Rhinolophus ferrumequinum: one gene and its partners. Each later gene encodes a partner of the first gene's protein in a complex. Links are inferred from orthologs where the notes say so. Each region holds a gene or a part of one and is shown on either strand. Other genes may lie near its edges.

Region 1 (7,641 bases):
ACACAGGTCATCAGGTGCAGAACTCAGGACTCCCATTTCCCAATCCACACCTCTGTAGGTATGACTGTGGGAACACAAAATGCTTTTAGTTTTATCTATTAAGTTAATGTAAGTTTACTTATTCACTCCCTTGAATAGCTCTAATTTACAGCTGCTACTCATATAAATACACTCTCTCAAAGTACTAGACACTATGTTAGATGCTGACACACATGTCAAGTTCTCTCAAGTAGTGCTGAATACGCAAGTATCATAAGTAGACTGCATTATCCAGATATACTCAACAGGGAAACACAATCAAAAGAAATGCTGCTCAAAGACCACTAGTGAGAGCAGAGCTAGGACCAAACCGGGTCTGCCTGGGTCTGAAGCACTTCTTCTTTCCACTACACTACACGGAACTTCCAAAGAATCTTAGATGTGGAAGGAACCCTAAAATAACAGCTGCCTCTTATTAAAAATCTACAGTGTGGCACGTGCTTTAAATACCTTACCTCCTCTTCTTACCACAATCAAGAGAAGTGATGGTATTCCCCTTTAAGGATGAGGACATATGACCAGTGACTTGTATAGGCCTCAGGCTGGTAATTGCCTAAGCTGAGATTTAAACAGGTCTTTTTAACTCTAAGTTGATGCTCTTTTAACCATGACCTCAAAGAAATCACAATGACCCCTGAGTACTCAACAATTCAACGGCATGCCATATTTAAAGGACACTGCAACGAGCTGAGGATGACTACATGAAACTTACAGTGCCACTAGACTCACAGAATTTCACAACTGGAAAAGATTAGAGATCTGAGTGATGTACTCAAGCCCCATCATTTTGTAGATGAGAAAGCTGAAGCTCAGAGATTGCAAATCATCCTTGAAAAGGAAGGATTGGAAGCAACAGGGAACAGTGCAAGGGCATTCCAGGTGAAGGGTATATGCTAAAAAAAAAAAAAAAAAAAAAAAAAGAGTACGGAGGTCAAAATGAGCACGCTGCATGCTGGAACTGTAAAATGGTATAGATCACACGTATACCATAAGAGAGAAAAAAAATAAGGAATACTTCCATTAAGATGAGTGGCCAAAGGACATAGCTTCCTTCGTTAAAAAAAAAAAAAAAAAAAAAAAAACGGTTTTAAAATAACGTTTTTAGCAAACCTTTCCGTTTTAATATACTATCTGTCCTTATTACACTTATCCTATTTAACCTTATCTAATATTTGATATGAATCTCTGTGCAGTGGCTAACTTCTCTTTTAATTTTGTCTGCTGTCATACTGTGTCTGTCATACTACTAGAATATGACAACAAGGATTTATCCACTTTTCTAGCCAATGTCTTCTCACTCAAAATTCGTTTTGGTTTTTCTTACTTTTATTTCTTTTTCACTCTCTGGTTTGGAACAATGCCTAAAGGCAACATTAAACACATCTCTACAAAAAACTCAAAGAGTTTACAATGATTTTTATTTTACTCCAAAGAGTACCAACTAAAGCACAACAACACAAAGAATGCACCCTCAGACGGTTTATTACAAAATGTGGTACTACCTTTAATATGATATAAAGAAATGCTGCTCAAAGACCAAAAATTGAGTTCAACAGTCTGAGTTTCTATAAAGAAAACTTTAATAAATTCTTGTCAAGGTAACAGTTTCAGAGTAAAGTTTTTTAAACACTTGAAATATTAGTTAAGAAGTTTTATTTCCTAGTAACAAATGCTAAAAATAATTTACACATATAAATTTTCTTAATGCTGGCTGTGTAATAACAGAGAAAGAAAAACATAAACTATTATAAGACTTTCAGAAGTCAAGGTGCGTTATTTACTAGATTCAGGCATACTTTCAAAAATGTGAGGCTCCAAATTCAGGTGCAGCGAAGAGTGTGTTAATGAAGTTTAGTGCTGGGATACTAACACCCTGGGAAAAATCAAGTTTTCAGTTTATGTATCACGCACAGTCAGGGGACATTTAAAATTTTTCCACAATGTCTCGGTTGGAACTGACTGCGATACTTCTAGATGTCTGAAAAAAATGCAATCCTATCTCAAGCCGTATCAGGCTGGCAGACACTAGTCATAAAGCAACTGGGCCTACTCCAAAACTTAGGCGCGGCAGGCCACAGAGGAGGTGCCTGCGAAAGACAAGATGTCCAGTAAACGCGAAGGGCAGAGAAGCCAGAAGTCCCCTGAGGCAGGCCAGAAAAGTCTGTGAGGTGGGGTGGTGGGTGGGTGGGTGCGTGGGTGTCGTGTTGGAGGCATAGGTGGTTTGAGTGGAAGAATAGTAACTGACAGAGAACAGATAAAGTGTTAATTAAAATCCCAACTCACCACACCGGAGGTGATGAGAGCAGTGCAAAAGCAGGGTTTGGGTCCTGAAGCCAGGAGAAATGAAACAAGTCCCATTTCACAGATGGGCACAGTGAGGCAGGGGTTTCGAATAAAGTTCCACAACTAGTGAGCGATACAGTCAAGACTAGACTGTGAGCGTTTGGAGAGTCCAATCACCCTGGCGACCCCCCACTAGCCCAGCTGTGCTCAGCACTTGGCACAGAACCAGGAAATCTCTCAATGAAATGTCCCAAGTCTTGAAATTTCAAGCTTCTTTGCAGAGAACTCGGCTTCCCATCGGACAATACTTGGGGGTCCGGGTGGGGGTAACCAGGCTGTGTGGATCCTGGCAAGGTCGTAGGTTTGGGTTCCGAGCGTGAGTGCTGACCCTCCACCCGCCCACTGTCACTCACCCGGATGCCCTTCACCACGGTGATGTTCTCATTCTCATCCGCCTCGAAGGTGACCCGGCGGGTGCTGGCGGTCCCGCCCATGGCTTCTTCTGTCCCCGCAGAGACCTAGCGTGGACCCACGAGCACCTCAGGCCCCACGCGCACACACGCGCGTGGACGTGCCCGGACTTTTTCCTCGCACAGCGGGTGCAAGGCCACGACCCCAAGAAGCAAGGAGAAGGCGCCGGTCCTGAGCTCCCTCCTCCTCCGGTCACGCTCCACAATAAGATGCCTTCGGTTGGTGGGAGATACAAAGGGCCCGCCTCTACTCCTTAGGGGTGCCCGGATTGGTTGCCCCGGACCCGGATACTATGACAACAGGTGGTATATGACAAGGTTTCCGGAGCCCCCAAGGCATACTGGGAATTGTAGTCTCCACCTGGCGCCAAGGGTGACGGGACATTCTCGTCTTAATCCGTGGGCACAAGAGGAGCGTGGCATTCTGGGAGTTGTGGTCTTGACTACCCGAAAGGCTTCTAATGGGACAACTTTCCAGAAAGTTCATTCATTTAACGAAACATGCATTGAAGATAGTATTCTAAAAATTTAGGCTAGTGAGTTAAAAAATTCTCTCTCTCTCTCTCTCTCTCTCTCTCTCTCTCTCTCTCTCTCGCTTTCTCTCTCTCCACACACACACACACACACAAACACACACACACACACACACTTTAATGAGGAAATGCACTGTCCAAGTGCAGACATTGCTAGATTCCTATAAAATCCCTCAAGCAAAATTTCGCATTTCTTTATTTTAGTCTTAGCCCCGCCCCCCCAAAAATAAAACACTGTATTTGGCCTATAGCTTTATTTCATGAACTATGAACTGTTTAATTTCTTTCTGTGAAGTAAAATTTTAAATATTATAGTTTTCAAATTAGCTTGTAAGAAAACAGAAAATAAATTATTTATAAGCATACAGAGCACTTTTTTGTGTCTCCTTTCACTTCAGTTACATAAGCTAGTTAGGCCTTAATACTAATGAAGCAGAGAAAAGTTAAATGATTGACAAAGATGGCATAAATTAGCGGAGGAATTAAAACTACATCAGACAAAGTTCAGAAAATCTATTTTGGAAAGTTTCTATTTCACCTCTATAAGACCAGTAAATAATTTTCAAGTTATCTACATGCACAGTTTTTAAAAAAAAATTTGCTAACTCTTCTGTGACATGTAAGTTTAGCCATATGACCTTAGTCTTATGGAGGTGTATAATTCTCTTTATAAATTAGGTTAATGATGCTACTATCTTCAGTACCTTTCGACATTAAAAAGCAGCCAACCACAATACAGCATGGCATCCTCTTATTGCAAAGCTATCCACAAAAATGCAGTAACATTTTTGAATTACAGTTATGTCCTAAGTCATTACTGTCAGAATCTTTAGGACAGAAACTAAGTCTCTTTCATCTCTGTATCCCTCGTCAGTAGCAGAGTATTGAATTTATTACATGTCATTTTGTTCTTTTTGACATATGTATATCCAAATTGTACTGCAGTTTTGTGATTACATGTTATTTTGTATATGTTCTCAAGTTGTGCAATATGTTTTAACCTTCCTTCTACAGGGAACTAAAAATCCTTGGAATTATGTCTTTTGCTTCTTTGGAACCTCCCCTCCAGAAACACATCTTCTTCACTTATTACCCCAATATTACAGCACATATTACAACCACATAAAACAGTTGCTCAATCAATTCTTGTCAATTGCAAAGAGTTTCTTTGTTATTGCAAAATAACCAATTACAAAGAGTTTCTTAGAGAGAGTACAGAGATGAAGGAACCACTAGTTATCTTGAATATATTTATCTCCTTAGAATATTAAAAGAGTTCATTCAACCAAATAAATATGATGAAGGCTAACCATAAAAGAGTAGTGTGGTACCTTCACTTTTTATGATACAGAAACATGTAAGAGGTCTTATCAGATAATCTAAAAAGAGATATACAATACAGTATTTTTAACTGTAGTGGATCTTGAAAGTCCTCATCAGAAGAAAAAAAATGTTTGAAACTATGTATATGGACAAATGTTAGCTAGATTTATTGTGGTGATCATTTCTCAATAAATACAAATATGCAATCATTATGCTGTATACCTTAAACTAACATGTTATATGTCAATTATACCTCAATAAAAATACCTCAGAATTCATAATCTATTTCAACCAACAACATTACAACCTACAAAGAAACCTTCCGAAATTAAAAAAAAAAAAAGGATACATCTTACTCTTGGAAAAATCCCTCCTATACCAATATTGTTCTCTCTCTATCAATTTCAAAGCCAGGCCATGCCTACATCCCCTTCTAAAGAAAATGTCTTGCAATACCCAGAACCTGTGGTCTCCCTTTCTCTCCGACCTCAGCTTATTAGTGATTCTCTAACCCAAAGGAAGCATTTATTAGCCAGAGACCTATGAACTAGAATGCAAAGTTTTGCCCAAACAAAAATAATAACTAACACTTGAGCTAATCAGATTCTCTATGTCTTTTTTCCCTTTTCTCTATCTCTATTTAAACTTGAAAATTCAGAACATACAAAAAGATAGCAAAGAGAGAAGCTATGATACTGAGTTAGAAACATGACGCATTGTAGCATACTAAAGATAGGTGGAAGCAGAACTTGTAAGCAGAATACAAGACATCCACTGGAAAAGAAGTAAAACTATCTCTATTCACAGAATGATATGATGTAATAAATAGAAAAATCCCAAGAAATCTACTAAAAAGCTCTTAGAACTAATAAAAATAAATAAAGTTTAGCAAGGTTGCAGGATACAGGATCAACATACAAGAATTAATTGTATTTCTATACACTAGCAATTAACATACCAAAATTAAATTAAGAAAACAACTTCATTTATAATAGTATTTTAAAAACCCAAATGTCCCTTAACTGATTTCTGGATAAACAAAATGTAGTGTAGCCAGAAAACGGAATTTATTCTGCAATAAAAAGGAATAAAGTACTGACTTATGCTACAATATGGATGAGCCTCGAGAACGTTAGGCCAAGAGAAAGAAGCCAGGCACAAAAAGCCACGTATTGTACCATTCAATTTAAATGAAATGTCTAGACTGGGCAAATCTACAGAAAATGAAATTAGGTTTGCCAAGGACAAGGAAAGGGTGAGATGGGGAGTGACTTCTAATTGGTACAAGGTTTCTTTGGGTGGGAGGGGGTAATAAAAATGTTTTTAAGGAAAAAGAAACAAAGGAAAATGTGAGACGCTTCGAGGTACAGAAAAATAAGCCACAAAAAAGGGAGACTAAAATAAAACAGACCTTCAAGAATTAGCATAGTCCTACAAGTAACAGAGCTCTGGAGTGAAGACCCACAACTCCAGAAGCTTCTAGAATTGCCTAGAATTCAGAAAGATCTTCCAGCTGAAGTTTTTGTCATGGTCGACTCTATCAAGGTGACTACTCTTCCTGAGGTCCAGCTGTCCCATCTTTCCCAGGTTCTGGGGCACACGTAACCTTACCAAAGAATCTTACTAATCACATGTGACCTGCCCAAATATCTACAACATAGTATTTTCTTCAGTCTCCAACCAAGAAACCAGTACTCTAAGTAAAAAGAATGATGTCAACAGTTTACTTTGATGCAAAGCAGAGAACCAAGCAGTCGTTTGATGCTTCACAAATAGCTTCGCTATCAAGCAATCTTACTTTCCAACTCCTTCACCCTGAGCCATGTCTTCCTTTCCCACCATGTTAAACCATTGGAATTAATGTTGCAAACAGACAACCAAATGCTTCTGCTGTCAAAATTCCAATCATCTCTAAGGCTCTCCTCCCCTGAAAAAAAATCCATGTACACTTCCAAAGCACTCAAACAAACAATTCCAGAAGTCTCAAGGTAGGAAGAAGGTTTTCACTATATACTCTGCTTTTTTCAATCCTATAACTTTAAACAAAAAGTTGCAGAAGGCAAAATGCTGGTGACTCCTCTTCTTCACACACCCTTTGACTGTCCCTGATATACTAATTAAGAGTGTAGGAAGAGATAGGTAAGAAGAGTAAAAACAGAAAAAACGTGACCTGGCCTAATGAGGAATCAGGGAGGAGAGAGCTGGTCTTTGTCCCCAGCCAGAAAAGCTAACCGATGTGCTCTCCTCATCTCTTCTCAGTAGCATTTCAACGGCACAGTAATGTGCTCAGGTTCTATGACCTGGGCTGAAATAAAATATAGATGTAATGATCATGTTATGTGAGATGAAAACTGGAGCTGATGCTCTGACTATTATTTATGTACTTAGAGAGACAATTATATCCGTCCTTGAAACCAGGATCATCCGAGAAAATCTAGTACATATAGTTGCCATCGTTATAGAAAACCAATTAAAAATCACTGAAAAGTGCTTCTTATGTGGTGCAGACAATCAATATGAAGACATTCTGGAAATATGGACTAAGACTTATTCAATAAGCCATAACGGGACATCAGCCTGAAAGCTTTCTCTGGCAATTAAGAATCATCTAAAAACAATGAAGCTCTAAAACAGTAGTTTGTGTGTGTGCATGTGTGTGTGAGCGTGAGCGTGCATGTGTATACACGTGCGAATGTGCTTATCTGACATATTTTGAATACAAGAATTTTGAACCTCACACTTGAAGAGATAAAAAACCCCAAAATGGCATGCAACAAGTCAGCAATGATTACATATCATTCACAAATACCGTATAACAATGTCTCTCTGTGTCTTCGAAAGTATCCACTGTTAATGGCACACAAATCACGTGGTCTCCCTTGAGCATCCCGTCACTGATAAAGTAAAACTGACCATGCACTGTCCATGCATCTAGTAAAATCATAAGTCAGAGTTCTCCCATGTTTCAGGAACTTCTCCATCTATCTCTGACT
Region 2 (8,046 bases), on another chromosome or scaffold:
AACAAGTAGTATACGTGTCATAGAGATCTAAACAGTATAATAAATACAGAAAACAATACTGCACTATAATTATGTAATGTGATAAATATTGTTACATTGGCAATCACATTACAATATATAAACATATCAAAGTAACAGGCTGAACACCTTAAACTTTCACAATGTTACATGTGAAATTTATTCAATAACAAGAACAGATTAAATTTTTACTTGATTTTTGCTTTCAAACATACCAATTTTAGCTCTATATCCATCTATTCAGGGCACCTATGTTGACCTGAAGACAGCAGAAGAGCTGGATGTTGTTTATGCCACTGCAGTGGAATATAATGGAATCACACTTTCAATAAAGTAAAGGGAAAATATGAAAATGAGAGATTTTATCCTTCTATAGGAATGGTTCTGAAAAACAGTCTAAACCTATATATCAGAGAATAGTCTCATAAAATCATAAAAGCAAACTTATCATATGCATTTTCTTTACATTTTCCCATTCTTTACACAAAGATTAGTCAAACACTATCCTAGGTACTAGGAATAAAAATATAAAAAAAGATATGCTCCTACCTCATCCAAACCCCATCTCTGGGGAAATTCAACATGACTTTTCTAGCCTTGTCTCTGTTCGCTGTTCTCCTTTAGGAATTCTTTGATATAGCTAAACTCAAGCGGTTGTCTTTCTCCACATCATTACCCTTAGGAATACCCTCTCTACTAAACTTCTGGCCATTCTACGGAACTACTAGATGTGGCACTCTTCATGTAGTCTTTCCTAACCCTCTAATTAGACTTGTTTTCTCACTCTGTTTTGAACCCCATAGATTCCATTTTCCTTGAGGACAATAACTGTATCGTAGCAGTGTTGTAGCCAATTTAACCAGCCTTGTATCAAGTACATAAGTTAGTATAAATTAATGACACAAGATCAGATCAAAGTAACCTATCTTTGAACAAATGTAAGTTGTAAGGTCTAAAATATGAAATAATCATATTTATCCATCCTTTAGATTTTTGTTAGGCTTACTTAAAAATCATCACCACTTTTCTAAAGTGTTGAATTTAGAGGTGGGGGTAACAATAAAATATTCAGGATAACCTCTCTATTTATATATCACATGTCATTCCATAGGTTAAAGTTGAAATAAGGCAGCTTTATGACTCAAACATGTCTCTCTCTAAAATTTCTTATGGTTTAAAACACAAGGCTTATGAAATACAACATGGTTAAATGTAGTAAGTCATCAAAAGTACAAATAAAACCAAAATCTATTAGAGATCATTTTGTTGATTTATTTGACACAAAAACTGTCAAATCACATATTTGCTTATTTTTCCCTCAGCCCTGAAATGATATTTTTATTAAAAATAAAAACAAGAAAAATGGCGGCGTGAGGTGAGACTCTGTAAAGCTCCCCTGGAATTTACAACTAATCGAACAACAATAACTCCACAAAGGACTCCCTGCACAGCAGACAGGCAAGACGAAGAGGCCCACTACTGAATTCACTGAAAGGTGGGCGAATCAAGCGAGCGGGGTAGAAGGGAAGGGAGACGTGCGGAGACGGAGCTGCGCGGGCGGGCGCAGGACACACACCTAGTTCAGTGTCCGAGCTCGCTGCTTCCCGGAACTACCGCAGCTGCGGGAGAGGGAAGAACTCGGACTGCTAGGGCTCCGCATATGGCCCACAGGGCTGAGGGGGCAGCATATAACACGGATGAACCCAATGTTCACGGCAGAGACCTTGGAGGAAAGACTGAGGGCAGAAGGCTGAAAACAGTGGTTTAAGCCCTCACTGCCAAGCAGAGAACGGAGCCTTAGGCACTGAGACTAGCCGGCCCTCCCTACCCTCCCACAGATCGCCCTGCCCCCACCTGCCCAGTAATAGAAGAGGAACACTAGCAGTGTCAGAATAAAAGAACAGAATATTTGATGTTCTGAGAACTGTGGACCACAGACACAGATTCGCAGCCCAACTAGTTCTGGCAAAGGGGAGGGAGCTGCGGAAGCAGGACCAGCTATGATGGTGGTCGCCGCCATTGCTCTGGGCCACCTCTCACAACTCACCCCGCCCCTGGCCCCACCTATCTGGGCAGATCCCTGCAGGAGTAAACAGAACAGCTGAAACATACGGGCTCTGAATCAGGTGCGGGAAGAGTTTTGGAACTTCAAAAGCTCTCCGCATACCCATACAGACACTGCGCCCTGTGACCCAAGCGAACTATTAACAGAGGAGAAGCCCATCTCCCAGGAAATCCCCCCATTGTGTAAGAAGCTGGAATAGTGCAGAGAAAACAAAGCACTACCGGGTGAGCGAAGAAAAAGGCTGCAGTCGGAGAGAAAATAAAATATTCTACCAACAAGTACTGAAAAACTAAAGAAAGACCTCTTCCTATCAACCTGATGCAGAAGTCACTCCTGCAGATGTCTAGGAAGAGAAAAAATAAATCAGTAATCGCCATGAATAACCAAGGCAGCAAGACAGCTCAGAAAGAAAGTGAAAAGTCTCCAGAAAATGAAGTTAAAGATATGGAAATATGTGACTTAAATGACAGAGAATTCAAGATTGCAGTTCTGAAAAAACTCAACGAGATCCAAGAAAACACAGAAAGGCAGTTTAATGATCTCAGAAACACAATCAAAGAACAACATGAGCATTTTACGAAAGACATTGAAATTTTAAAAAAGAACCAAACAGAATTTCTGGAAATTAAACACTTAATAGAAAAAGTTAAGAATGAAACAACCAGCTTAGGTGGCAGAGTTGCCCAGATGGAGGAAAGAATCAGTGACATCGAAGATAGAAACATGGAAATTACACAGCTGGAAGAAGAAAGAGACTTGAGACTTAAAAGAAATGAAAGACCTCTACAAGAACTTTCTGACTCCATCACAAACACCAATATAAGAATAATGGGTATACCAGAAGGAGAAGAAAGAGAGAAGGGAACAGAGAATATATTCAAACAAATTGTTGATGAGAACTTCCCAAACTGGTGGACAGCACTGGATCCTAAAATCCAAGAATCAAATAGAACACCTAATTACCTCAATCCCACAGGACATCTCCAAGGCACATTGTATTGAAGCTGTCTAAAATCAACGACACAGAAAGAATCCTCAAGGCAGCCAGGGAAAAGAAGACGGTCACCTACAAAGGAAAGCCCATTACATTATCATCAGATTTTTCAAACAGACACTCTACAAGCCAGGAGGGAGTGGAACCAAATATTCTAACTATTGAAAGAGAAAAACTGTGAGCCAAGAATAGTACATCCAGCAAACATATCCTTTAGATATGAAGGAGGAAGAAAGACCTTTCCAGACGTACAAAAGCTGAGGGAATTTTCTAATACACGACCTGCCCTACAAGAAATACTAAAGGAGGCTATTCGACCACCACCAACAGGGACAATTTGTGGCAACCGAAACATAAAAAGGGGGACAGTAAAGGCCTGAACCAGAATATGGGAATGGAGAAAGTAAGCGTGCTGAAGAAAATGGAATACTCTAAATATCAAACTTACTTTTACATAAACTTAAGGAGAACCACTCAAAAAAAAAATCCAGAACTGAAATATATAGTGTAATAAAAGAAGAAACAGAGGGAAATATCATAGAATACCACCACACAGAAATAATAGACAACAACAGAAAGGCAAAGAAACAATGGAGACACAGCCTTACCAAAAAACTAAAGATAGAATGACAGGAAATCCTCCCATATCAATAATCACCCAAAATGTAAATGGACTGAATTCACCAATAAAAAGGCACAGAGCAGCAGATTGGATCAAAAAAATTAAACCCAAACATATGCTGTCTCGAAGAGACACATCTCAGCTACAAGGACAAGCATAGACTCAAAGTGAAAGGGTGGAAATTGACACTCCAAGCAAATGGTACCCAGAGAACATCAGGTGTAGCCATAATGATATCAGATGAAACAGACTTCAGGGTGAAAAAGATAACAAGAGACAAAGATGGACATTTCATAATGATAAAGGGGACTATACAACAAGAAGACGTAACAGTCATCAATATTTACGCCCCAATCAGGGAGCACCGAAATATACCAAGCAACTGCTAAATGAACTAAAGGGAGAAATTGACCAAAACACAATTATATTAAGGGACTTAAATACATCATTGACAGCTATGGATACATCATACAAACAGAAAAAAAAAATAATAAAATAGCAGCCCTAACTGACACATTAGATGAAATGGACATAATTGACATATATAGAGCACTTCATCCTAAAACATCAGACTATACATTCTTTTCTAGTGTACATGGAACATTATCAAAGATAGACCATATATTGGTACATAAAATCAGACTCAGCAAATTTAAGAAGATTGAAATCATACCAAGCATATTCTCTGATCACAAGGCTTTGAAATCAGATATGAACTGCAAAAAGAAAGCAGGAAAAAACACAAATACATGGAGATTAAACAACATAATTTTAAAGCACGACTGGGTCAAAGAAGAAATTAGAGGAGAGATCAAAAGATACATAGAAACAAATGAGAATCAAAATACATCCTACCAAAATTTTTGGGATGCAGCCAAAGCAGTTTTAAGAGGGAAATTTAGTGTCATTACAGGCCTATCTCAAGAAACAAGAAAAATCCCAAATAAATAACCTCATGTTACACCTTAAAGAACTAGAAAAAGAAGAACAAGTGAAACCCAAGCTCAGAAGAAGAAAAGAAATAACAAAAATTAGAGCGAAACAAAATGAAATAGAGAACAAAAAGACACTAGAAAAAACTAATGTGACAAAGAGCTGGTTCTTTGAAAAGATTAACAAAACTGACAGACCCTTGGCTAGACTCACTAAGATAAAAAGAGAAAAAACGCTAATTAACAAAATCAGAAATGAAAAAGGGGAAGTTATCACGGACACCACAGAAATACAAAGGATCATTCAAGAATACTATGAAGGGCTATATGCCACCAAATTCAATAACCTAGAAGAAATGGACAAGTTCTTAGAAACCTATAGCCTTCCAAGGCTGAACCATGAAGAACTGGAAAATCTAAACAGACCGATCACCAGTAATGAAATTGAATCAGTCATCCATAACATCCCTAAAAGCAAAAGTCCGGGACCAGATCGCTTCACTAGTGAATTCTACCAAACCTTCAAAGAGGATCTAATACCGATCCTGCTCAAACTCTTCCAAAAAATTGAAGAAGAGACAGTACTCCCTAACTCATTTTATTAGGCCAACATTAACCTGATACCAAAACCTGGTAAGGACAGCACAAAAAAAGAAAACTACAGACCAATATGTCTGAAGAATACAGATGCAAAAATCCTATACAAAATTCTAGCTAATCTAATATAACAATGCATTAAAAAGATCACTCATCATGACCAAGTGCGGTTCATCCCCGGGGTACAAGGATGGTTCAACATCCGCAAATCCATCAATGTGATACATCACATAAACAAAATAAAGGACAAAAATCATATGATTATATCAATTGATGCAGAAAAAGCATTTGACAAGATACAACATCCATTTATGATTAAAACACTTAATAAAATAGGTATAGAAGGAAAATACCTTAACATCATAAAGGCCATATATGACAAGCCCTCAGCTAATCTCATAATTAATGGTGAAAAACTGAAGCCCTTTGCTCTATGTTCAGGAACACCACAGGGCTGTCCCCTGTCACCTCTGCTTTTCAACATAGTGTGGAAGTCCTTGCCAGAGCAATCAGGCAAGAGAAAGAAATAAAAGGCATCCACATTGGGAATGAAGAAGTTAAATTATCACTCTTTGCAGATGACATGATGGTATATATAGACAATCCTAAAGACTCCACCAAAAAGCTATTAGAAACAATCAACGAATACAGTAAAGTTGCTGGCTACAAAATCAATGTACAAAAGTCCATTGCATTCCTATATACTAACGATGAAATCTCAGAAAAAGAAATGCAAAAAACAATTCCTTTTGCAATTGCACCAAAAAGAATAAAATACCTAGGAATAAACTTAACTAAGGATGTGAAGGACCTATATGCTGAAAACTATAAGACATTTTTGAAAGAAATTGAAGAAGACACAAAGAAATGGAAAGACATTCCGTGCTCATGGATTGGAAGAATTAACATAGTTAAAATGGCCATATTACCCAAAGCAATATACAGATTTAATGCAATCCCCATCAAAATCCCAATGGCGTTTTTTAAAGAAATAGAACAAAAACTCATCAGATTTGTTTGGAACCACAAAAGACCCCGAATAGCAAAAGCAATCTTAAGAAAAAAGAACAATACAGGAGGTATCACACTCCCTGACTTTAGCTTGTACTACAGGGCTACAATAATCAAAACAGCATGGTATTGGCAGAAAAACAGACACACAGACCAATGGAATAGAACTGAGAACCCAGAAATAAAACCACATAAATATGGACAGTTAATTTTTGACAAAGAAGCTAAAAACATACAATGGAGGAAAGACAGCCTATTCAATAAATGGTGCTGGCAGAATTCGAAAGCCACGTGCAAAAGAATGAAACAGGACTGCTATCTGTCACCATGTACCAAAATTAATTCAAAATGGATCAAAGACTTAAACATAAGAGCTGACACAATAAAGTGCGTAGAAGAAAACATAGGTACTAAACTTATGGACCTTGGGTTTAAAGAGCATTTTATGAATTGGACTCCCAAGGCAATGGAAGTAAAAGCTAAAGTAAACGAATGGGACTATATGAAACTTAAAAGCTTCTGCACAGCAAAAGAAACCATCGACAAAATAAAGAAGCAACCAAGTGAATGGGAGATTTTTGCAAACAGTGCCTCCAATAAGGGGCTAATATCCAAAATATACAAGGAACTCATGAAACTCAACAACACAAAAACAAACAACCCAATTGAAAAAGGGGCAGAGGACCTGAAGAGACATTTCTCCAAAGGGGACATAGAAATGGCAAGTAGACATATGAAAAAATGCTCAACATCACTAATCATCAGAGAAATGCAAATAAAAACCACAATGAGATATCACCTCACCTCAGTCAGAATGGCTATCATCAACAAGACAAATAGTAACAAGTGTTGGAGAGGCTGTGGAGAAAAAGGAATCCTCATACACTGTTGGTGGGAATGCAGACTGGTGCAGCCATTATGGAAGGGATTGTGGAGGTTCCTCAAAAAATTACTAATAGAATTACCATATGACCCAGCAATCCCTCTCCTGGGTATCTACCCAAAAAATCTGAAAACATCTACACATAAAGACACGTGTGCTCCAATGTTCATTGCAGCTTTGTTTACGGTGGACAAGACATGGAAACGACCAAAATGTCCTTCAATAGATGAATGGATAAAGAAGTTGTGGTATATATACACAATGGAATATGTTTCGGCGGTAAGAAAAGATAGAGCAACATTTGTGACAACATGGATGGATCTTGAGAGTATAATGCTAAGCGAAATAAGTCAGACAGAAGTAGCAGAGAACCATAGAATATCACTGATATGTGGTATATAAACCAAAAACAACAAAAGAACAAGACAGACAAATAAGAAAGAAGAACTCATAGACACAGACAATAGTTTAAGTGGTTACCAGAGGGTAACGGGGCTGGGGTGTGGGAGATGGGGGTAAGGGGGATCAAATATATGGTGATGGAAGGAGAACTGACTCCGGGTGGTGAACACACAATGGGATTTATAGATGATGTAATACAGAATTGTACACCTGAAATCTATGTAATTTTACTAACAATTGGTCACCGCAATAAATTAAAAAAAGAAAAAAATAATAATAATAGTAAATTATACTTTAAGAAAACCAAAACCCTAAAAAAAATTAAAAAATAAATAATAAATAAAATTAAATCAAAAAGTATCAACTGGGAAAAATTATAAAGCCCGTTACTTTCATTATAAACGTAAGTCTGCTTTCTGTGGTAGTTATGCACTATCACCCTGCGTTTTTCTAAAATAATATCCATGAAAGTATTTGAATAGCAGTTTTATTCTACTTTAACAACACTATGGGGACACACGA
Region 3 (7,281 bases), on another chromosome or scaffold:
CTCAGCAATGATGCGACCTGTTTGATGTGGCCAGGGCGCTGGGGCAAGACACATCACCTCTCTGAGCCTAAGCCCCAGTTTTCTCATCTGCGAAATGGAAGCAGCGATCATCCGAGAAGATTGAGTTAATGCCTTTCAAGTCCTTGACCAGGTACTGGCACAGTCACCACTCTCACACTGGAGTTTTCATTGTTTCCAGGTGCTGGTAGTTTTCCTCGGTTTTCCTTTTCTGTCTTGGGCCGGGGCCACTTTCTCAGAGGTGTCTCGGTTTATGTCCCAGCTTCAGGACGGATGGATGGACGGTCCCCCTCTAAGAAGATAAAGGGGCTCCACCCCCAGGAGCTCAGGCAGTGGCGGCAGCAGTGATGTTGAGCTCCTGGCGGATGAACCAGGCCCTCGGGCGTGGCAGCCAAGCCCGGATCAGGCAAAGCAGATGAAAGCGCCATGGGTAGAAGACACCAGAGGCACGCGTGGCACCTCCGCGGATCACAGCCAGGGCTGCCTTGGGCCCCAGGGCCGCCTTGGCCCTTGTGACACCCCTGGGGATGGGAGGGAGTGGTGGGGACTGCAGCTGAGGCTGGGCGCCCCCAGCCCCCGGCTCGAGCCCCTGGCCTTACCTGATACCCTCGGCAGCGGAGGAGCGATCCTGGAGTCCCAGGATGCACATGGTGATGGCCACATTCACGTCCTGCACGTCCAGCTCCCGCCGCAGGGAGCCGAAGAAGCTGTCCAGGGCGAATTTGGCCGCCGAATAGGGGCTGGAGAAGGACGTGGGCACACGGCCTGGGGGCGCGGGACGGCAGCTGCTGAGCAGCCACACGCCGCTCCCACTCCTCCAGGAAGCCTTCCTCCACCATCCAGGCTCGCCTGCATGGAGGCCTGTAGCATTCCCACTCCCTGCCCCTCATGCACGCACCGAGCAGTGAGGACACCACCACCAGGGAGCCCTTGCTGTCCGTCAGACTAGGCAGCGCCAAGGATGTCAGTTGCACGTAACTCAGGAAGTTCACCTGGAAGCGACGACTGAGAGTCACGCAGCGGACAAGGAAAACCAAGCCCAGAAGAGGCAGGGGGAGGACCCTATAAACCTGGGGGCGGGGCTGGTTAGGGAAAGGCGTGCCCGAGGGTCGGGGCGGAGTCCCGGTTGGAAGAGCTGGAGCTCAAGGCCAGAGGCGGGGCCAAAGCCTAGAGAGGGTGGAGCCTGGAACCAGAAGGTGCGGAGCAAGGGGCAGAGAGGGGCAGGGCCCGAAGAGGAATAGGGGAAGAGGGTGGAGTCTGGGAAGGAAGGACTGGAGGGCCGATCCGTGGGTGTAGACAAAGTTGAAAGCAGGTGGAACCTAGCATCCCTAGAGATGGGACCTGGGAATAGGAGAAACAGTGTCGTCCCGGGAGAGCGGAGGCAGGACTGAGGGGGCGGGGCCGAGAAGGGGCGGAGCACCTGCATAAGCCAGCGTGTCGCCTGGGTGCTGCGGGCCGGAGTGCCTGCCGGGGCGGCACCGAGGTGGTTCAGCACGAGGTAGTCCAGCCCACCTATCCCAGAGGCCCATCAGCCAGGAGCCAGTCTTTGAGGCTCCACCCCCTTGACCAGATGAGACCCCTCCCTATCCCCGTCCTTTAAACTAGCAAAGCTCCGCCCAGAGTATTGACCCAAGCAGCTCCGCCTTAGGTAGCGCTCCACAAGATCAAAGGGACCCCGCCTTACTCCCTGGATCCTGCAGGCTTCATCGCTAATTGAATGGGGCCCGGTCCAGAGTTCCGCCCCTTCGATACAATGAGGCCCCACCCCTAACCACAACCCCAGAGCCTTTTAAGTCGCCGCCCACAGACACGCGTTACTACCACACCCCCACCCCAGCTGGGTCTTGTCCTTAAGGCCTAGGCCAAGGTCCCAGACTCCAGGCCCCGCCCCTCACCCAGCTTGTCCAGCGCAAACTGCACCACGCGCTCGGGCACCTCAGGGGAGGCCATGTCCGCAGCGATGTAGAAGACCTTGGGAGCGCCCAGCTTCCGGCAGTTCCCTACCACCTGGGGGGGCCAGAGCTGCCCGTGGGCCCCTCCACCCCAGCTGGCCCCCTCCACCTGCACGACACACTGGGGCCCCCACCTGAAGCCCCCTCCCCCACTAAGCCTCCTATTCCATTCCCAACGCTTTACCACTGGGGTCACAAACTTGGCAGCTCGCCAGACAGAATAGGGGTCATTTTATTTGCTCAATTACCAACATTTAAAATTCAGCAGATTTCAAATAAATCTCAAGGTTTCTGGCCCCTCTTGAAATTCTGGAAGGTTTGTTTCCAAGAGCTGTACATTTCCTTGGAACATTCTGTTGCTGAGAAATGTCCACCCACCTCCCTTTTGCGTTTCAGAACCCTGGCTATGTCACAGGCTTTGGACACTACCAATATTCCCATTTACTGAGGAACACTTCTTGCTTTACACTCACTGTCTTACTGCATCCATCCAACACCATAACACATGAGAAGGTACTTTTATTATCTCCGTTTTGCAAATGAGGAAACTAAGGCTCAGAGAGGTTAAGCAATTTGCCAAATGTCACACAGGAAGCCTGGATCTTTGCAGGGATTCAAACCCAGTACCCATTTTCCATTCTACCCCCACCCCCACCAATAAACTCAAAATGGGGTGTCTCACCTTCTGCAGGAAGGCCTCAGTGTGGGCAGTGAGCACCAGATGGGAGCCCAGGCGGGCATAGTGATATGCCAGCTCCTCCCCGACACCTGCACTGGCCCCTGTTAACAGCACACGGGCTCCCTGGAGGCTGGCTGGTAGTGAGAAGGGGTGGTCAGCCTAGAAGGTGCACAGGACAGCCAGTCCCATTCCTACCTCTCCCACCCCAGGTACTCACCTGGGTCGAAGTTGTCAGCCCAATAATAGGCGAAGAACAGGGCTCCCAGCACGGTAAGGAGCAGGACCTTCATGGCCCTCCCTGGGTCTGCAGCGGGAGAAAGGATGGCCAGCACAGGCCTGGCCCACAGCCACACCCTTTCCCCCAACTGCACCTTTGTTCAAAGAAGATCTTCCTGGCCCTCTCCTCCATCTCCACAGCCACCACCTGGTCCAGGTCACCATACAGCTCACCTGAACCACTGCGCCAATAGATAACACAGTGACATAGAGTGATATGAGGAATGTGGAAGGCAAGAGCTGGGGGAACCCCAAAAGACCACTCTGTCCAGAGACACCCAGAAGGAACTGGACACTCAGGGCTGGGTTGGAGACAAGTCATTAAGGTTAAGACGTGACTTCAGCTGTGAGAGTGATTTACTTGTTCCAGGGAGAAGGTAAGAAACAGGTTAGGTGATTAAAAGTTCGGGGAGTCACGGGTCTCCCCTAAAAAGGGCACAGGCCCATCACACCTCTGGACTCAGTGGGACAAAGAGGAGAGAGGACCTTCCAGGACCCATGGGGCTGACAAGTGGTGGGATTGGGGCGTCCCCATAACTTCAGTCTCTAGATCCAGCCCTATATCCTTTGTCCCCACTACAACGTTCCAGCTGCCTCCTCCCCGGCTCCCCCATCTTCACACTCCCTTCCTCCCACGCTTTATTCTTCATGCAGCCAAAGGGATCTTTGTCAAAAGAAATCTGGAGTGCCCCTTCCTGCTCCAAACCCCCCCCCCCAAGGGCTCGCCACTGCCCCCAATGGAAACCAAGTTCCTCACTGCCCACAAGGCCGAGCAGGCTGCCCTCTGCCCACCTGTCGATTCTCATCTTCCCCTACTCCTGTCAATTAATCAGTTCTCAGAAAAGTGAACTCCTCACCTTTCCCCAGTCATGCCAGCCATTTCCTCAGCAGGGAACGCGCTCCCACTTCCTTCACTTCCAGGAGGAAAGAGCTCGTGAAGCCCCTCAGCTCAACCCTCTTACCAACCCTGGTCTTGACCATAGCATAAAGACTACGCTTTAATGAGTTCTTTCCTGGTGGGACCGCAATCTCCGTCGTCTCGGAGTCGTAACGAGACTCCGACCTCCAGCAGCCCCACAGGGCGAAGCAGGGTTGGATGGATGGGTGAGTGGGTGGGAAGAAGGATGGATGTATGCATGAAGCAGCCCGGCTGCGATGGGGATGGAATGGAGGAACCAGATCCTCGCAGAATCCACTGGCCACCTGACTTCGCCGGGCCTCAGTTTCCCCGCTGGACAAAGGGGGCGTCCGACCCATTCCGCACTCACAATCGCACACTCACCCACTCGGGCCTCAGTTTCTCCCGCTGTCCACCGGGGCTAGGGGTCCGCACTGGAAGCCACGCGTACGCCCTTCTGGTATCCCTTCACGGCCCTGGCCGGTCGGGCCCCCCACCGCGACCCCTCTGGTAGAACCTGAGTCACGTGGCTCCGAACCCACCTCCTCCCCGGGAGGGGCCAGGCCGCTGGGACTCCGCGCCCGGGCGTTGCCGGGCAACCGCCTCCTGCTGGCTCTCCGGCTCCCAGACTAAGCCCTGGCTCCGCCCCGTGGACGGAAAACCCACCCGTCAAGTCCGACGACATGACTTAGACCCGCCTCTCTCGAACAATTCCCGCCCTCGCGTTGTCGTGAAAACTAGCTTCTAGGCACGCTCTTCTTAGGCCCCGGCGTGAATTCTTCGCGCGGGGGGTGGATCTTCCGGACTCCGACATCTTCTTGGGTCACCCTCGGGCCTCACTCCAACTCCCCTCTCCTCTCACGGCTCCAAGGCAGAACTACATTTCCCAGACAGCTTTGCGGCGGCCCGGCCCGGAAGACTACGCTTTAATGAGTTCTTTCCTGGTGGGACCGCAATCTCCGTCGTCTCGGAGTCGTAACGAGACTCCGACCTCCAGAGGCCTTTGCGGCTGACAAGCGAAACTACGCTTCCCAGAAGCCTCTGCGGCTCCGTGACCGGAAGCGGCGGGCAAGCCGAGTGTCCTTGCGCGCGGAACCGAGTGACTATGGTGTCCCGAGTGTGGTCGCTGATGAGGTGCGTGGGGCCGCTGGGCGGGCCCTGAGCCCCCGAGAAATTCCTCTCCTACGGACACCCCTTTCTGGTTTGCTCCCGACCTGCTCTTCGCATCCGGTAGTGTCAGGTGCCCTGTCGCCCAAATGGAGAAACTGAGGTTCAAGCGGGGAGGGGATTCCCCAGGTCGCGCGAGCCGTTGCTTCCCGTCTCTCTATCCAAGATCTCTCCGATCCTCAGTTGCCTCCTCTGTAAAATGGGAGTGCCACACGCCATTTATTGGGAGGTTAATGCACGCCCAGACCGGCGTAGGACATACAGGAAGCGACCAGGGGCACTTGGAAAACCCTTGCAGGTTGCTGGCGGAGAGTCCCTCCCGGGGTGGAAGGCAGGAAGTCGGAGGACTTAAGCCTTTATTGTTCCCTGCTCTCTGCGGGATCACGAGTGACCCACTGTCCCTATGCGGGCCTCAGTTTACCAGTTATTGGGGCGGAGTAGCCCTGCTTTGCACACTAAGTGGGGTGCTGTGCATCGTGGCCGGCAGGCACGCCTCTGGGCTAGCAAGGTGCCGTGTGCTTCTGTTCGCTGCTTGGCTTCAGGTGTGGCACTCTTTGGACTGTGGGGCCCCCTGGGGGTCTAACTCCTCCTCAGGTGGGCCTAGGCCTCAGAGGGTGCCCAGCAGTGTTTCCTGAGCCGCTGTTGTTCCCTTCCCTGTTTGCAGGTTTCTCATCAAGGGCACTGTGGCTGGGGGCGTGGTCTACCTGGTGTATGACCAGCAGCTGCTGGGGCCCAGCGACAAGAGCCATGCGGCCCTTCAGAAGGCTGAGGAAGTGGTACCGCCAGCCATGTACCAGTTCAGCCAGTACGTGTGCGAGCAGACAGGCCTGAAGATACCCCAGGTACCCCGCGCTGAGGCTTGGCGGGAGGGGGCTGTCAATTCTGGGGTGGCCTTCTGTCCCTGGTCCCTCCATCCCTGCTGGGAGCCCTCCACACTGGGGCGTGTGCCGCCCTCCCTGCCTCTGAGGGAAGCTGGGGCTGCCGGGCCCTTCCCCTTTCACCAGGCCCTCTCCCCTGTCTCTTCCCAGCTCCCAGCCCCTCCAAAGTTTAACTTTAACATCCGTGAGTCCTGGAATTCAGGTAGGCCTTGGTCCCTCTGCCTCGGGGGTGGCCCAGGTCCCCGCCCTGCTCCCTGGCGTGCCTTTCCATTGCTCCTTTAACTGTTGTGTGTGCCTCCACGGTCTGAAACAGAAAGGTGGGGGTTCCAGGGAAGTGGGAGCACATAGGGCTGCTTTGTGAGAGCTGAGGCCACATGGGAGCACATCGGGGTTGGGTGGTGTCAGACAAGGCGAGGCCCTGCCCCTCCTCTGCCTCAGTTTCTCCGTGTGGAATTCACAGAGCTAGAAGTGGTGCCTCCACAAGCATGGCTGAGTTGGGTGTCCTGGGGGTTGTACTAAACCCCTTGGCTATAGGTGGGGAACCTCACAGGTGCGTGTCCTCCCTCCCTCCCCACAGGCATCATTACAGTGATGTCTGCCCTGTCGGTGGCCCCATCCAAGGCTTGCGAATACACCAAGGAGGGCTGGGAATACCTGAAGGAGCGAATCAAGTAGCCTGTCAGAGGAGCCCGCCTGTCCCTCAGAAACAGGGGCAGGGGTGCCGTGGACCTCAAGCCTCCAGACTGGGACCCCACTCTGAGGGCAGCTCCTAACCTTGCCGCCCAATAAAGGACTTCGGAAGTGTTCCCTGACCTGTGTGCCTGCCCCAGGGGCCTGGGGTGGCCCAGGTGATGCTTAGAGCATGGGGCCCTGGCCTTCCAGCTCGGGAGGCTCCTCAGGGCCTGATCTTGACCCCAGGCCATGGTTCTTACGTTTGCTGTCTGATCCCTACCTGCTAGGGCCCCCACCTGGTGTGGGGAGTGGGAGCAGACAATGGGCCCCAGTGCTCAGTGCCTCGGAAAAGGGTTGAGAAAGTGCTGAAGACCAGCCTGGGCTGGGGGGGTCTCAGTTCTTGGAGGGCTGAACCCAGGGTGGGGCATTCTGGGAGCGAGCGCTTGGTGGAGTGGGCAGACTTCATCTCCTGTGCTGGTTACACGCCCACTTTTACCTAGTCTTTATTCTCATTCCACGCTCCCCCCAACCTGGGATTCCTGGGGAGCACAGGCCTGGAGGTCATTGCCATGTACTGGGGTCTCCCCAACCCCCAAGGGCTTTGCTGTCCTGACCTCATCTCCTGGAAGTGCTCTGCTCCCCTCGGAAACCTTCCCTGACACCCCTGTCCCACACTGGGCCAGCTGCCTCGTGACCTGAATGTGTCTGCCCCGTCGGGCTGGAGCTCTGGAAGGGTGGGCT

The links. The genes of interacting proteins can lie anywhere in the genome.
Region 2: CHCHD3 (region 1) and APOOL share a complex: the UniProt entries of both Homo sapiens proteins name them as parts of the mitochondrial contact site and cristae organizing system (MICOS) complex. The link is inferred for Rhinolophus ferrumequinum from reciprocal best matches to the Homo sapiens genes CHCHD3 and APOOL.
Region 3: CHCHD3 (region 1) and MICOS13 share a complex: the UniProt entries of both Homo sapiens proteins name them as parts of the mitochondrial contact site and cristae organizing system (MICOS) complex. The link is inferred for Rhinolophus ferrumequinum from reciprocal best matches to the Homo sapiens genes CHCHD3 and MICOS13.

Annotation. Positions count from the first base shown.
Region 1 is NC_046309.1:14,136,280-14,143,920, reverse strand, and holds the start of CHCHD3 (MICOS complex subunit MIC19), read right to left. Parts: upstream 3,030-7,641; 5' UTR 2,817-3,029; coding exon 2,736-2,816; intron 1-2,735. UniProt on the Homo sapiens protein: Component of the MICOS complex, a large protein complex of the mitochondrial inner membrane that plays crucial roles in the maintenance of crista junctions, inner membrane architecture, and formation of contact sites to the outer membrane.
Region 2 is NC_046284.1:69,669,936-69,677,981, forward strand, and holds the start of APOOL (MICOS complex subunit MIC27), read right to left. Parts: upstream 3,102-8,046; 5' UTR 3,065-3,101; coding exon 3,047-3,064; intron 1-3,046. UniProt on the Homo sapiens protein: Component of the MICOS complex, a large protein complex of the mitochondrial inner membrane that plays crucial roles in the maintenance of crista junctions, inner membrane architecture, and formation of contact sites to the outer membrane.
Region 3 is NC_046301.1:58,423,513-58,430,793, forward strand, and holds MICOS13 (MICOS complex subunit MIC13), read left to right. Parts: upstream 1-4,826; 5' UTR 4,827-4,928; coding exon 4,929-4,957; intron 4,958-5,654; coding exon 5,655-5,832; intron 5,833-6,018; coding exon 6,019-6,070; intron 6,071-6,445; coding exon 6,446-6,543; 3' UTR 6,544-6,680; downstream 6,681-7,281. Other genes in the region: HSD11B1L (hydroxysteroid 11-beta-dehydrogenase 1-like protein), read right to left, coding at 344-539, 618-783, 917-1,010, 1,439-1,530, 1,914-2,025, 2,653-2,783, 2,867-2,953, 4,490-4,508. UniProt on the Homo sapiens protein: Component of the MICOS complex, a large protein complex of the mitochondrial inner membrane that plays crucial roles in the maintenance of crista junctions, inner membrane architecture, and formation of contact sites to the outer membrane.